Ovis aries: one gene and its partners. The protein of the gene in region 3 interacts with the protein of the main gene of each other region in a pairwise test. Links are inferred from orthologs where the notes say so. Each region holds a gene or a part of one and is shown on either strand. Other genes may lie near its edges.

Region 1 (4,201 bases), on a different chromosome or scaffold from region 3:
AGTTGATGATGGACAGTGAGGCCTGGCGTGCTGCAGTCCACAGCATTGCAACAGGTTGGATGTGACTGAACTGAACTGAACTGATACCATAAATGCTTACCAAGTTTGAACTCCTTTCTAGTTCTTTGATGCCACTAAAACTCCTAAAAATATAAAAGGTTTTTCTGTATGCCACATTTACTGTTTTTGCTTAGTCTACCTCCTGTCTGATCTCACTTTCCCATATTAACTCTATGTTTTCCATTATCAATTGTTGTCCTCCCTAACCAGAAGGTCTGACATTGGCCCACTTTTCAATACCTTCTCCCCTGTACTTTCTCAGTAACTATCACCCAGGTGAGATATTCTCTATTCCAATGAGTTGGACATCTCCACCAGATGTAAGCTTAATAGTCTAAAGCAACTGAAACAAGATCTGTATCTTATACTTGAAATCCCTCAAATATATATCTTAGGTATTGAAAGGATAACAGTCACCTTTCATGTGACTGAAAATCAAACTTTTCCCTAGGTAAATTCTGTTCCTCCAATGTTTTCTCAAATAATAAAACTAAAGCTTCTCTACTCATTGAGGCTACATATGGGAATCTTTACACCTGTCTCCCTGAAGCTCTACTATTTTTCCTTTATGGAACAACTACATGCTCTAGTATCTTGACCATTCACATTAGCTCCTAACTGGTCTTTCAGCATCCAGTCATTCCTTCCTCAACACATATTCTGTCTCACGGCCAGAGCTACTTTTCTGAAAATTGATCTGATCTCTAAACATATTTCTCCCTTACTCAGAAATCATTCATGCTTTTCTGTTTACAAAATGAAGTCTAAAGTTCTCCGTGCTACAGTCAAAGCTCTTAACCTACCGTTCCAGTTTCATTTCCATTCACTCAACCCCTCCTATAGCCTCCTCTTTTCTTTATACTACAAAATGTACTGTCACTTCTCCATGACATTCTGCTCATGCTGTTTCATCTATTTACAATGTCATTTTTTCTTTTCTATCATAAACCCATCCAAATGTCCTATTTTCTGATGTATTTCTTAATTTCTCAACTTAATATTTACCACTGGCTTAGTCGGGCACTAATTTTAATTATATATCTATTATTATACACATATATATATATACACACTGTGCAGTCATACAGCCCACCAGGTTCCTCTCTCCATGGGATTCACTAGGCAAGAATACTGGAGTAGGTTGCCATTAGGCCTCTAGAAATCCTCCACTGCATCTAGGGTTTACTTCTGTTTCCCTCACTAAATCAAGAACTTCCTACTGGTCAGATCCTGTGTCTTAGCCACCTGGACTATCAAAATTCCTTACAGAGTAACTTCTTAAATTCATAATTGTCCCATCTTTTAGTCATTTAGTATATAGTTTTAAGTATCAAAAACATCTGGGGACTTTTTTCAAAAATACATACACTTCACTGACCATTCTGATATACTTTGGAGAAGGGGATGAGACTAGGGTAAACCAGCACATTTATCAAAAGCTCCTTTGGTGATACTGGTAAATCTCAGTCTAGACTTGAGATCGCAGTGAAAGTTACACAGCAAAGTTTCAAAGAACAGGTTTTCATTTGAGTATGGAAATATAGTCATGAAACAGTAGAGTAAGGATGGAAGGAATATATAAAAACAACTTAAGAGCGAGCCAGAACATTTTTCTCTGAGAGCTTAAGAACTTACTCTTTGGTTCAGTAGGACTAGATCAGAAATGCATCACAGGTAAATGAAGAGGCAGATTTCCCTTGCAAAACATGGACTGGCAGTGCCTGCTATGGCAGTAGTTACACAAGTAGCCTTTAATAATATAACCAGCAAAAAATGTAGTCATCCTTTTTTTTTTTTTTTTTGCTTAAGGATTAGTTAGTTACCTTATATGCCCAATTACTATGCTTCACAAGTCTCCTTCTGACCACCTATTTTCTGGAAAATAGCTGAAAAAAGTAAAACTTCACTGACCACGCCTTTCCTCCGACAAAAATAAAACTTGTTTTTAAAGTTCCTTACAATATGTGACATTTTTTACTGCTCTAGATTTATCAAAGATTTAGAACCCAAACTTAAAAGGAATATCCCAATCTCGTCCTTAGTAATAATGATCAAACTATGTTGCCAGTAGGTTTCAAAAAACATTGCTAGTAAGGATCTTATAGTGGTTTTTAAATCTGAAAGCAACTGCGAACTGTTTACAAAAACGATTCTGAAACCCACACTGCACTTCTCGCAAGACGGCAAGTCAGTTACCTATTTTCGTTTACCGATAAAAATCGTCTTTAGAAAGTTATTAATAACAATGCATTCAAAGAAAAAATATGTAAAAACAAATTATGGATATTACTACTTATAAGAAGGAAAATATGTATTTGAGTCAAACGTCAAACCTACACTCCACCTATACCATATCGCATGCCTAAATGGCAAGAAAGTATCCCAGCCCTCCATCTCACGTGCACACTATCCCCTGAAAAATCTCAAACCCTGTTCCAAACAACCTTCCTAACAAAGATCGGTGATCACGCCTTTCTTATTACAGGCCAAACCCGAGTTCTCCAGAGGCGAAAAGGACTAAGGAAAAAAGCAAGAAAGAGGCCCCCAGGAAGAAACACGTGGGGAAGGAGGAAAGCGAAAAACCTGCACCCTCAGGTGGGGTTAGAGGCACCTGGCCTCGCACATCAGGCTGAGGGGGTACTAGTCACGGACCTTTCTGAACAACACGCAACTGCAGCGCACCATGCCTGCGAAGGGCGAGTATTCCCTCCAGCGGAAGCTGTACTCACATAAGTACGGCGCTGCCTTTTTACGTCACCGCCGACCAACGCAGCTATTTTGTGTTCGCACGCTTTCCCCCCGCCCCCCTCGTGCCTGACAGCCATTCATACCGTAATGCGCGCGGGGGGGCGCGCTCGGAAAAACATGCGCATGCGCAATGCAGTGCCCCGTCCCCACCCCCACCCCCCCTTACCCTGTGCGGAGGTGGAAAGTGGCGCTTGGCGGCAGGCTGAATAAAACGCTGAGGAAAGGTCGAGAGGCAGTGTGACAGGGGACAGTCGGGTGCGAAGTGGTTGTCTCAGGAATATTTTGAATAGGATGGCACTAGAACCTGGGCTGCCTTGGAGGAGTTCTTATGCTTTGGAAACCGCAAGTTACCTCAGTCTCTTCACTCTTGGCGAAGCAGAGTGGGGGAAAAAAAACTCCCACGGACGGTAAAAACTAACGCGTGAAAAACTCAGACTCAGCTGGGGAAAACAAACAGACAAAAAACTTTAATTCACTGACCAGCTGAGTAATGTCTAGCAAAAGCTTCCAGGAGCTATTTTACGATTTGGGACCCGACAGTCAGGATCTGAGTTATATAAGAATTTCATTGCGTTCTGTGGGGAAGGAATCTTGCAACTGTTAGTAGCTTCTAGGTATGTTCTGTGCTTCAGTCTTGTCAGACTCTTTTCGACTCCATGGACTGTAGCCCGCCAGTCTCCTCTGTCCATGGAATTCTCCAGGCAAGAATACTAGAGTGGGTTGCCATTTCCTCCTCCAAGCTTCTAGGGGTCCAATAGATATTATGGGTCATCATTATCCAACTCGTCTGAAGCGCGCCTCAGGCAGGGCAGGACCCGCATAGCGGCGGGGTCGCAGTCCGCCCAGCCACCCCCTCTTCTGCCCTCACGCGGAGAATGGACATACACAGTCCTGCTGGGCGGCTCTGGATTATTCTCCCATCCTTATCATCTTTCTGAATTTAAGACAATCCTCCCATTTCTACCCCTAATTTACGACACGATGTAGAAACTATCCCTCTCTGTGTTGATTCTTTTCCTACTACTGAACCGCTCTCTACTCCCCCATCAATAAAACTATAATTGTCATTTAATTAATCAGGATGTTAGGCTGAGAATTCCCTGGGTCCACTGGTGAGGAACGGCACGCTTTGACTACAGAAGACCCGGGTTCAATCCCGGTAGGGGGAAATAAGATCCCACAAGCCCAGCAGGACAGCCAAAAAATAAAGGAAACTAGGTTGTTACTACTTGGATGATTACTCAATAACGTTTGTGTCCTTTTTGATTATTATCCTTACTAGGTCTTATAATGTCAGAATTATGTTGAGCCCAATCTGTTTATTTTCTAAGGTTTATTTCCTAGTGAACACAAGCCCAGATTGTTTTCTTTGTCATAACATTTACATGGGAAC
Region 2 (4,167 bases), on a different chromosome or scaffold from region 3:
CCTCGGGTCACACACGGCAGCAGGATCCGCACAGACAGGCCGTGTGACAACTCCCGCGGGGAAGAGGCTCTGCACGCGAGGTCCCCGCCGGCAGCCGCGGGCTCCTTCCAGCCCTGCGGCAGGTAAATCTGGCCGGCAGTCCCGGGAGCGGCTCGGCATGGGCCTTGGGGCGCAGCTGAGGCCCGTGCTCCCAGCTTGGGGCAGGCCCTCGCTCTCGCGAGCACCACAGGGCCACAGGCTCGACGCTGGGCCTATTAAATCGGGACCTGTTTCACAGCTTTCTCTTTTTTATGTGAATTTCAGTAGTGCTTGTGCTGAAACGGCAGCCACCTGGAAGCTAATCCTCTGTAAAACGGCCCCCTGCCTCCCTCACCCCCAGCCTCCCCTTCCAGCCCCCCTTGGGGGGTTGAGACTGGAAGAGAGAATTCTCTGTAGGCCTTCACATCAGTCTTTGTTCCCCAAAGCCAGAGGGATCGCGGAAGGCTGGTTCCCTTCTCTGGGTCCTCTCCCAAGCCCCCAGCCACCGATCTGGGAGAATCAGAAAGAAAATTAAGTGACACACCATGGGTTTTTTTTACAGCCACTGAGGTTGAAGGTGGAGACCCAAACCGGCAGCTGCAAATGACCAGCGGGAGAATCAGCAGGCAGTCAGGAGCTCGACTCCCGGCTCATAATTGTCTCCAAGATCCAGCTGTCTCCCTGGGCCTTTTGGGACAAGGCTTCGTCTTCAGAAGAGACTCAACTGTTTGGAAACAGCTTTAAATCAACAGGGGGTGAGGGGAGGGGTGCATCATTACCACATCACCCTGGCCCCTGCCCCCGCCCCAACCCCTGCAGCTCCACAGGCGCAAATGTCATGGGCACTTGCTCAGTCCCAGGCATGGCAGCCCCACCTGCCCGGGAGGCAGGCTGTTGACAATGGGCACCTGCAGCTGCCCTGGCCTTCGCCACGGGGTGACTAAGCTGCATGATTCAAATGAAAAATTCACCCAAGAAAGGAGTTGTCCCTGGCGTCACCCCACCCCTTGGGAGCCGGGACCCAAAATGAAAGAACTTAGTCAAACCAGCTCATTAACCAACACTACCAACAGGGCTGGGGGTGGAGGATGAAGGAAGGGAGGTTGGGGGGTGGGGGGCGGTTCCATGTCTCCACGAAAGGAAAGCCCTTCTCCCTAAAAAAGAAAAAAGAGCAAACCAGGGTCGTGCATGGCCAAATTAGAGGACATGATCTTCACATCAGGCCGGCTTCCCCTCAATTGAAGAGGCTGTCCTGGAGCCACGGGCGTTCGGCCTCCTAAGCCCGCGTGCGGTGCAGTCCAGGTGGCCAGCTCCAGGAGCCTCTGGGAGAACAGACGACCCAGAACAGGAGCCAGCAAAAGGCCTCCAACCAGAAACTCCAGTTCCTCCCTGGGCTGCCTGGCTGTGGGCCGCCTTCCCTGCCTTGGTCCAGCAAGGGCGCAGGCGGCAGAGGTCAGTCAGTCCTTTCAATTCCCCAGAGTGAGAGGTCGGGGCCAGGGCGGCTCTGAATACATCTTCTGAATGTTGCACGAGGTTTGGGAGTTCAGAAGCGCCCAGGGTTCTTGGCAGGGCAGAGGAAAACCCCAAGGAGGGGAGGTGGGAAGGGAGAGGCCCTTGGTGGCTTTGCTAGACACATACTGTACACAAAATCTGATTTAAGAATAAATTTTTAAAAATGAATTGAATCCTTGAGCCATGATGCAGGCTGGCGGGCTCACCGGTCCAGCCCGAGGAGGAGCCGCTTCTTGTCCTCCTGGCCGCTCTCGTTCTTCAGGTCTGAGAACACCTGCGTGAAGTAGTGGGGGTCGGCGTTGATCTGCAGCATCTTGGAGCTCATGAGGTTGATGACGGAGAGGCAGCGGTCCCAAAAGGCCTCCTTGCAGCTCTCCACCAGGAAGGGCTTGAGCGGGTAAGAGATCTCGTTGCCCATGTAGGAGTAGGAGAGGTACAGGCAGGTCAGCAGGACTGCCTGGAGCTCGTGGTCGGAACCCACCTCGGAGGAGATGACGTCCCGGCAGAGCATGTACAGGAAGACCACGTTGGCCGGCGTGATGAAGCCCTGGTCCTGCCAGCCCTGCAGCAGCAGCGAGCGGTCCACGCTGCGCAGCCAGAGCACAGGGTCCGTGGGGGACAGGTGCTTCAGGCGGTAGCACCGGCGACAGAGGAACTCGCCCAGGCAGCGCAGCAGCTCGCTGGTGGACGCCTGGACGATGACCCGTTTGGGCGTCCCTGCGGAGCTGACGGCGGGGTGCGGGGCCTTCTTGACGGACGAGGAGACCCCGGTCTGCGAACCCGAGAGCTGGCTGGCAGGGGGGGCGGGCGGCTGGGCCGGCGGGGGCTGGGCGAACGTGGACAGGTTGGCGCACGACAGCGACTTCTTCAGGTTCTCATTGTTGAGGTGCGTGATGTTGTTCTGGTAGCTGCTGTTGGGCTGCACCTTCTTAGAGTTCTTCTTCTTGGCCGACACGGCCACGATCCTCTTCCACGGCAGCACGGAGATGATGGAGTGCCGCTTCAGGTTCTTGTCCTTGGCGTTCTTGCTGTTCTGCACGGCCGTGTAGTGGCCCACCGTGGCCGCGCCATCCTCAAACAGCGTGGCCTTCCGGTAGCTGGGGGACAGGGACAGCACCGTGCCCATGGTGTCGCTGCGCGCCGGGCGGGGACCCGCGCCCCTGCGCGCCCAGCCTGCCGGCTGGAGGGAAGAAGCTCACCGAGCCCGCGGCGGCCAGGGGGAGGCGGGGGCGCTCCCGAGGTCGCGTGCCGCCCCTCCGGATCTGTGAGGGGAAAAACAAGATGGTTCTCAGCATCAGGCGGGGCTCGCGCCGCGCTCCTCCGCCCCGGCCTCGGCGGCCGCGGCCCCAACCCCGCGCCCGGGGCCTTCCCCGGTTGACACGGCCCCGCCCGCGTCCCCGCGCCGCAACCCCGGCCTCTCCACTGCGGCACCGGCACCCGCTCCCGCCGCGGTCCGGATGGCAGCGCGGGGGCCCGGGCGCCGGCGGAGGCGGCCGGGGACCCCGCCTCGACACCGCGCGCGGCCGCGGCCCCGGTCTCCTGGGGGCAGCGGGCGGCCCGAGGCGCAGGCTTACCGAGCAGGTGGCTCCGGCGCTCCGCACCTTCCGCAATGCGCGCCGCGGCTCAGCGCCGCGGTCCCGGGGCTCGGCGGGGCTCGCGCGCGGCGGCGGCGGCTCGGGAGCTTCTGTCCAAGGTTCTGCAGACGCTGCGGCCCCGCCCCCCGCTCGGCCGCCTTCGCCGCCGCCGCCGCCGCCGCCGCGCCCGCGCCCGCCCCGGCGCGCACCTCAGCGGCCTCCCTCTCGGGCGCGCGCGCGCGGCCCACGCGCCGGCCGGGCCTGGTCTCACCCGGGAGCCGGGGCCGCCGCCGTGCTCAGCACGAGCGGCGCGCGGTGCGGGCAGCGACGCGGCCGCGAGCCCCGGGCGCCTCTCTACTCGCCGCGCCCCATCCAGGACCCGGACTCTGGCGGCGAGGACTCACGGCACCTCCCCGCCCCGCCCCGCGGGGCCGCCCCCTCCTCGCACTGCTCACCGCCCGCTCGGCGCTGCCGCGCCAGCAGCAGCCCGGCCGCGTGAGACTCGGGAGCGCACCGCGCAGCTGAGCTCGGGCGGGTGGGGAGCGCCGGGAGGGGAGGGCTGGGGCGGGGCCGGGGAGCGACCCCGCCCGCCGCCCCGCCCAGACACGTGCTGCCTTTGTTCCCGCCGCGCCGTCCGCAGCTGCCGGCGGCGGGGGCGACCTCGGCCGCGTCCGCGTGCCGGCCGCCTGAGAAACAGTCCACGGAGGCCGGGACCCGAGTAGCCTCCTTCCATTTAATGCCCGAGATCCCGGGGACAGAAGCTAGGGGACTCAAGGAGCAAGGGCGGGGAGGGGGGAGGCCTCAGTGCCACGCGCATCCGGAGGGGACTGTCCCATGAGTTCAGAGTGCTTTTCCCTCCGAGACCTCTGTTGTCCCATCCGGGTCAATGCCCAGCGCCCAGGTAAGTCTCAGAAATACAGGCCAGAGGCGTAGGCTGCTCCGGGCCGTCCCACGGAGCTACTTGCCATCCCACACCACACCTGGACAGGGCCCTGAGGCTCCTGGCTCCGTCACTGCCCCAGAGACAGACGAATACTGAGCCCATCCTGAATGTGACCTCAGA
Region 3 (3,511 bases):
ATGAAAGGCCGCGACGAAGCGACTGGGCATGCGCGCGGGGCCAGGCGGGCCGGCACGCGGCGGTCACCACTCCCCACCGGTGGGAACCCTCGTGGACCCGGCGCCGCAGCTCAGCCCGCAGCGTGGTGGCGTCATCTGGGCGTCATGCTGACTCTGGCGGGAGAGGAGGGCCCGGAGGAGGAGCTGCGGTACACAGGGGATGTGGGGGACAGTTTAATGGGGCTGGTCGGGTCCCCGGTTTGGAGCTTCCATAGCAGCTCTTCATTGGTCCGGCTCAGCCTCTTCTTCTCCTGCGTTTCTTTCTCCACATATTCCTGGAGGTTCGCGTTCTCCTCCGACAGCTGTCTGCATGGGGGTGGGGTGGGGGGGGGGAGGGGACAAGCAACAGTTAGAGTAGCAATGGCAGAGAAGACGCTGAGCCCGAGGTCGGCCGGGCCCAGGGGCGCACAGGGAACGGGGTGTGTGGTGGGTTCCTGTGGACCTCAGGGATCAAGCCCAGGGGTTGAAACACAATCACCACCTGTCCCACCCACACAATCCTCTCCCAGAGTCTCTCTGCCAACACCTGATTTCGCCTACAGTCCCTCTGCCCTGGGTCAGGGGAGGCGCTGGTGGCCAGTGGACAGAGCAAAAGCTGCAGGTGGTGTGGGGGACACTGAGCCATAAGGACGGCCCCGGGGAGTCAGTGGTGCCGACGGCCTCTGCAGCCTGCCCTCACCCTGGGCCTCCCTGGCAGCAGTCAGCTTGCACTGCAACCTTCTGGGCAGTGCATCTGGTCGCCTGCTGGAGCTAGAGCCCTAGGATGGGGCCAGAGCGGTCCCTTCTCCAGTGCTCGGCACCCAGCCTGGGGCCCGGCCCGTAACAGATGCTCCATGGGTGTCTGCGGCTGATGCACGCCAAGTAGAAAGGAACCCGATGTGTTTTGTGCCTCTGTCGTCACTGCAGCCGGGTTGCTGCTCCTCCCTTCCTGGAAGTCGGAGCCTCGGAGCAGGTTAGGAGCACGGAGATGGAAGTGGCTGCATGGTCCGGTCCCTCCCTGCTGCCCTCCAGCTGGGGCAGCTCCCCTCTGCCATTGGCCGAGTGCCGGGGCAGCAGCTGGGCACTGCTGGAGCCCAGGGTCGGCTGGCTCACATGGTTGTTTTCTTTAGCCTGGAACTCCCAGCGGGCAGCCCTTCCAAAACCTCCTCCACGATCCCCACCACTCCTGCCCCTGCCCCTGCCAGCTGTGCCACACACTTTATCCCACCCAACTCCTTTCCACCAAGGAGGGTGCTCCGTGCAGCCAGGGCATTGGCTGGGTGCTCAGAGCAGTGTGTTCTATGCTTTCTTCCACGTGGGGAGCGCCGAGAGCCTGCGTGGGGAAGCCTTGGGGCTCGGAGGAGCAAGGACAAAAGCAGAGCCCTCCAAGGTCAGGAGCAAAGCCATTCTGTCTGGGACACGCGCTTCTGAGGCTCCATCACCCAGGCCCACCTACCTTGTGACCACGGTGTTCTGGTCGATCCTGGCCTTGAGGTCTTCGTTCTGCTGCTGGAGAACTTGGATCTTCTCTTCCAGGATGATGTTCTTTTCTGCCTATAAAAGATGGAGTGTCAAGAGCTCCGCAGCCAGGCCCTGGGGGAGACGACAGACCAGTGCCCTTGGCTTCCGGGCTTTGAAGGATTATCTAAAACAGTGTTTTTCAAACTGCAATTTGCAATGCATTGGCTATAAAACCAGGCTAGAGGGACATGACCAGCATTGCTTTTTTAAACAAAAGAAAACAGAATAAAAAATACCAGAGTGCACTGTAAAAGTACTGTTTTATATATATATACGTATATCTTTCTTATATATATGTAGGTATATAATATGTCTGTGTGTATATATCGGTATATATTATGAATTATGGGGCTTCCCAGGTGGTGCTAATGGTAAAGAACCTGCCTGCAGTGTAGGAGACCCGGGTTCGATCCCTGGGTCCGGAAGATCTGGAGAAGGACATGGCAAGCCACTCCAGTATTCTTGCTTGGAGAAACCTATGGACAGAGGAGCCTGGCGGGCTACACAGTCCATGGGGTCGCAAAGACTTGAACACAACTGAAGCAACTTAGCATGCATGCATTTCCTGGGAACAAAGATGAGGTGGGCGTGGGAGCCTTGCTGAAGAGCTGGCTAAAGCCCAGTCCTTCCACTCTGATACCTCAGCCCAATGCACAGAGGGGTGGTGGTTTTCCTTAACTACCCTACGCAGGAGTTCTTCATAGTCTTTTCAAAAAAGAGTTTCTCAGTTCATCTTAGAATGGAGCTCGACTTCAGCTAGGTCTCAGGCCGTGGGGACACACGGACAGAGAGCGGGCATTAAGTCTCAAAGGAATAACCACCATGGAGGAGGATGTTATTTTCTGTTCTTGTGCAGAGCTGGCTTGAGCTGCACGTTCCTGGCTGCCGAGAGCCTCAGGAGGGAAAGTGTGTCCACATTATTGATATTTTCATCCCTCCATTAATTCAGAATGTCATGTTGTACATACAGGTACTGCCAGAGGTGCCAGTGCAGGGCGGAGGACCCGACAGGGAGAACCAGGGGATCCACCAGCCAAACTGGACCTGGCGGGTGCTCATGGCTCATCTCTGACAATGGCAGGGGCATGGAGACACTCACTATGAGAAGTGTATTCTACACAGGAATCCAATATAGGCACGCACATAAATTGTGTAGATGTAATTCACTATGCATGTGGTGCTAGGTTGCTTCAGTTGTGTCCAACTCTTCGCGAACCTATGAACCACAGCCTGCCAGGCTCCTCTATCCATGGAATTCCCCAGGGAAGAATACTGGAGTGGGTTGCCATTTAATTCTCCAGGGGATCTTTCCTGATCCAGGGGATGTAATGTGGGTGTCCTGTATTGCAGGGAGATTCTTTACCATCTGACCACCAAGGAAGCCCTCCTAGGAAATGGGAAGTGATGCAATCAACTCTCCCGCCCCCCACCCCCACCCCTGCCTGGAACGGTTTCTGGAATGAGAACTCTTGCATGCCCACAGAGTGCCTCAGTTCAGTTCAGTCACTCAGTCGTGTCGTGTCCGACTGAGTGTCCGACTCTTTGCAACCCCATGAATCGCAGCACTCCAGGCCTCCCTGTCCATCACCAACTCCTGGAGGTCACTCAGACTCACGGCCATCGAGTCAGTGATGCCATCCAGCCATCTCATCCTCTGTCATCCCCTTCTCATCCTGCCCCCAATCCCTCCCAGCATCAGAGTCTTTTCCAATGGGTCAACTCTTCACATGAGGTGGCCAAAGTACTGGAGTTTCAGCTTTAGCATCATTCCTTCCAAAGAAATCCCAGGGTGGATCTCCTTCAGAATGGATTGGTTGGATCTCCTTGCAGTCCAAGGGACTCTCAAGAGTCTTCTCCAACACCACACTTCAAAAGCATCAGTTCTTCGGTGCTCAGCCTTCTTCACAGTCGAACTCTCACATCCATACATGACCACAGGAAAAACCATAGCCTTGACTAGACGGACCTTAGT
Region 4 (4,100 bases), on a different chromosome or scaffold from region 3:
AAGATTGCTAGGAGAAAATCACTAACCTCAGATATGCAGATGACACCACCCTTATGGCAGAAAGTGAAGAACTAAAGAGCCTCTTGATAAAAGTGAAAGAGGAGAGTGAAAAAGTTGGCTTAAAGCTCAACATTCAGAAAACTAAGATCATGGCATCCGGTCCCATCACTTCATGGCAAATAGATGTGGAAACAGTGGCTGACTTTGTTTTTGGGGGCCCCAAAATCACTGCAGATGGTGATTGCAGCCATGAAATTAAAAGACGCTTACTCCTTGGAAGGAAAGTTATGACCAACCTAGACAGCATATTAAAAAGCAGAGCCATAACTTTGTGAACAAAGGTTCGTCTAGTCAAAGCTATGGTTTTTCCAGTAGTCGTGTATGGATGTGAGAGTTGGACTATAAAGAAAGCTGAGCGCCAAAGAATTGATAATTTTGAACTGTGGTGTTGGAGAAGACTCTTGAGAGTCCCGTGGACTGTAAGGAGATCCAATCAGTCCATCCTTAGGGAGATCTGGCTGTTCATTGGAAGGACTGATGTTGAAGCTGAAACTCCAATACTTTGGCCCCCTGATGTGAAGGGCTGACTCATTTGGAAAGACCCTGATGCTGCGAAAGATTGAGGGCAGGAGAAGAGTACGACAGAGGATGAGATGGCTGGATGGCATCACCGACTCAGTGGACATGAGTTTGGGTAAACTCCGGGAGTTAGTGATGGACAGGGAGGCCTGGCGTGCTCTGGCTCATGGGGTCGCAAAGAGTCGGACACGACTGAGCGACTGAACTGAACTGGACTGCAGCCCGCCAGGCTCCTTTGTCCTTGGGATTTCCCAGGCAGGAATACTGTAGTGGTTTGCCATTTCCTTCTCCAAGGGATCTTCCCTACACAGAGATCGGACCCAGGTCTTCCACTGAAAGCAGATTCTTTACCATCTGAGTCACCAGGGAAGCCCTGGCAATAAATCATAGTGGAACTCTAAGTTGTTCAAATTGTTTAAATTCACCCCTGTCTAGCCCCTCAATGATCCAAAGCTTCACAGGACCGAATCAGGAAGCGGAGATCTGATACGCAGAAGAAAGCTCAAGGTGACAACGAGATACACGCCATCTAGCTCATCCCTTTTCTATGCTAATGTTTAATTCCTACTTTCCAAGACTTTATCCTTCGCTGTTCAGGTTTCACCGCTGGGCGGGAGGTGCTTGTTCCTCTTCCACAGGGGAGGTTCCGCTAGGCCCCGCCCCGGCCCCTCTCGTCACCGGAAATGAGGCAGCGGAAGTAGTAAAAAGCTCTCCGAGGAAGGCGGGCGCGCAGTGGAGGCGGCTGGCTGGTGGGATGGCAGATGAAGAAGAGGATCCCACCGTGAGTGACCGCCTCTGTTCCAACCTACTTTTTAATTTACTACCTCGAGCACAGTAGCGGAAGCATAGTGGAGAATTGGGTTTCTTTACCTCAGTGATTCTGCCGAGAGAATCGGGGACTTCTCCCCGGGCTAGCCTTTTTCTTCTGATTCATCCTTTTAGTAAGCGGGGCTGGAGGAGTAGGTGGCTCCCCGCCCTTTACCTTTGGTTCATATTTGCCAGATACCCTTTGAATCACCTAGAGAATCATCAGGGGGCAAAGCTAGTGTTTGTTAGGGCTCATTATGCAACAACAATTCAAGTGCTAAGAAAACTGTACACTTTACTGTAAAGTAGTGGAAAAATAATGGACTCAAGTCACTGAGCAAGTAATTGAGCCTCAGTTTTCATGTCATAAAATAGGCTTAAGGTTTACTTGAGGAAAGTTCTTAGCACTGTGTAGGAAATGCTTAACAAATACTAGTTTTGCTTGCTTTCATTCAATATCAACTCTTTTAATAGTAAAACTATCTAGAAATAGGCCAACTTAGTTTAAAAAAAGAATGTATGGTCGTTGGAACTCCCCCAGGAGAAGCAGTACGATGCCTAACGGGGCATTGTAGAAGCCACTCCTGCGTGAGTCTGAAGTTGGGCGAGATAGTTTTAATGCCCCCAAAATGCTAAAGTTTCATTGTTTTTTGCTGCTTGCTTTAGGCTTTCTGGCATGATACTGGTGTTGAAGATGTAAAAAAAAAAAAAGCTAATTATTAAAATGTCAGAAGCAGTGTTTGACATATCTATACGTTTTAACTTTCAGTTTGAGGAAGAAAATGAAGAAATTGGAGGAGGTGCAGAAGGTGGACAGGGTAAAAGAAAGAGACTTTTTTCTAAAGAATGTAAGTAGTACTTGAGAATGATTTTTTAATAGTTTCCTTGTAGGGACACTATTCTCAGACTTCCGTATAAATTCTGTTTAACCTGTGATTCATAGATAGTAATGATCCTAACCCCAATTTATATATTTAACCCCAATTTATATATTTATATATATGTGTGTATATATGGGCTCACACAGACATACGTTTTTAAATTTTTTAAGTAAATACATGTGATCAGTGTTTCAATTCAGGTCCCAAGTAAGAACGTACCTCCGTTACTTTACCTGTTCCTTACCTTTCATCAGTTGGAGCAGGGACTCCTTTGAATGTAAGCCGAAGGTTCTGTTGGACCCTGAACAGGTCTGAGGGTAGGAATTAAGTTGGGACTTTGAACTAAGGCAATGGACAAGGCAGGAAGATGGTGAACAATGTGAGGCAGTCCAGTGACATGGAGATCATAAAGTTTTGGGTCTATTCTCCTCCTTCAGTAGACGGGTTTGACCTTTTATGGCAGTGGCAAGAGGAGCTGATTCTATTACTGATGATTCAGGCCAGCCCCTGAAAGGCACCATGAGAACATGCTCTCCATCTTCCAGTCCTGGTCCTTTATACATAGTTATGGCTGAGTGTAGATCAGGCAACACATGGAACACTTGGTTTACTTATGCCAGTTCCGACATAAGCAGTTCCTAAATGCTCTTGAAACTACAGAGTCAAGTAGTTTGGTTTTTTAAGCCATTCAAATCCTTTCCTATATCTCAATTTCTCACCTAAAGTTGACTGCTCATTATTCCATTTCTGATGTTATTTACTCCATTCGTATATGGTTTTACGTCTTATGGAGACTTCCCTGTAGCTCAAACAGTGAAGAATCTGCCTGCGAGGCAAGAGACCAGGGTTCGATCCCTTGGTTGGGAAGTTCCTCTTGAGGAGGGAATGGCACTCCACTCCAGTATTCTTCCCTGGAGAATTCCATGGACAGAGAAGCCTGGCGGGCTACAGTCCTTGAGGTCGCAAAGAGTCGACACGACTGAGTGACTAACACAGTTACTTCTTAGGTAGGCATAAGAGGATTACTGCACCAGAGCATCGCATAGTGATGCTAGCATACTTCTTACCAGAGCCTTTGTTCCACTTGGATTTCTTTATTTTTATGATGACAAGAATTCGGAATCTTCACAGCTGTTTCTTTGTCTTACCTGAATTTTCATGTATCTTGACCAAGATCTGTTCTTCTAGACATTCTTTGTTTTAAAAATATTTTTTGCTAATATAACACAAGATTTCAAAGCATTCACTTCTCTATTTGTTTGTCTTTACAGACTCTTTAACCAAATACGGTTTACATACTTCCTATCTAATAAGTTTTTCCTTTTCCAGTGAAGTATGTTTCCCTACTGATGAATTCTCCCCATCACAATGTTAATGACAGTATTTTCCTCAAAATATTTAAGAGAAAATATTAAATTTATAGTGGAGAATCCAGTCCTGGCAGACATTACTTTAGTCAGGTGATCAAAGTTAGTATCACCAGTAATATATGTTGACATTAGGTACTCCTAATATGGTGCATTAAGGGGTCCATCATCACTCTGATTCCCTTCTAGTAATGCATAAGCACAACCTAATCATGAGGACACATCAGATAAACCGAAGCTGAAGGACACGCTACAAGATAACTGACCAGTATTCTTCAGAAGTGTCAAGGTTGTAAAAGACAAGGAAAGTTTGAGGAACTGTTACAGAACAGAGGAAACTAAGGAGACACGACAACTAGTGTGGGATCCTGGAACAGAAAAAGTACAGTAGTGGGAAAACTGGTGCAATCTGAGAAGTGCTGTACTTGTACCAGTGTTAGTTTCTTAGTTTTGATAAATGTCTTTG

What was found.
Region 1: the proteins of MTUS2 (region 3) and GTPBP10 interact in binary tests that used the Homo sapiens proteins (3 or more experiments, as listed by UniProt). The two-hybrid records come from large-scale screens. The link is inferred for Ovis aries from reciprocal best matches to the Homo sapiens genes MTUS2 and GTPBP10.
Region 2: the proteins of MTUS2 (region 3) and CDK5R1 interact in binary tests that used the Homo sapiens proteins (3 or more experiments, as listed by UniProt). The two-hybrid records come from large-scale screens. The link is inferred for Ovis aries from reciprocal best matches to the Homo sapiens genes MTUS2 and CDK5R1.
Region 4: the proteins of MTUS2 (region 3) and TAF13 interact in binary tests that used the Homo sapiens proteins (3 or more experiments, as listed by UniProt). The two-hybrid records come from large-scale screens. The link is inferred for Ovis aries from reciprocal best matches to the Homo sapiens genes MTUS2 and TAF13.

What each region holds. Positions count from the first base shown.
Region 1 is NC_056057.1:76,144,361-76,148,561, reverse strand, and holds the start of GTPBP10 (GTP-binding protein 10), read right to left. Parts: upstream 2,812-4,201; 5' UTR 2,746-2,811; coding exon 2,713-2,745; exon of another isoform or gene 1,696-2,712; intron 1-1,695. UniProt on the Homo sapiens protein: May be involved in the ribosome maturation process. Complements an ObgE(CgtA) function in E.coli ribosome maturation. Plays a role of GTPase in vitro. When missing, disorganization of the nucleolar architecture is observed.
Region 2 is NC_056064.1:17,453,829-17,457,995, forward strand, and holds the start of CDK5R1 (cyclin-dependent kinase 5 activator 1), read right to left. Parts: upstream 2,812-4,167; intron 2,793-2,811; 5' UTR 2,657-2,792; coding exon 1,733-2,656; 3' UTR 1-1,732. Other genes in the region: proline-rich protein 2-like, read left to right, coding at 2,812-3,603. UniProt on the Homo sapiens protein: p35 is a neuron specific activator of CDK5. The complex p35/CDK5 is required for neurite outgrowth and cortical lamination. Involved in dendritic spine morphogenesis by mediating the EFNA1-EPHA4 signaling. Activator of TPKII.
Region 3 is NC_056063.1:31,296,061-31,299,571, forward strand, and holds part of MTUS2 (microtubule-associated tumor suppressor candidate 2), read right to left. Parts: intron 1,573-3,511; coding exon 1,475-1,572; intron 346-1,474; coding exon 132-345; 3' UTR 1-131. UniProt on the Homo sapiens protein: Binds microtubules. Together with MAPRE1 may target the microtubule depolymerase KIF2C to the plus-end of microtubules. May regulate the dynamics of microtubules at their growing distal tip.
Region 4 is NC_056054.1:86,377,824-86,381,923, reverse strand, and holds the start of TAF13 (transcription initiation factor TFIID subunit 13), read left to right. Parts: upstream 1-1,289; 5' UTR 1,290-1,333; coding exon 1,334-1,360; intron 1,361-2,155; coding exon 2,156-2,234; intron 2,235-4,100. UniProt on the Homo sapiens protein: The TFIID basal transcription factor complex plays a major role in the initiation of RNA polymerase II (Pol II)-dependent transcription.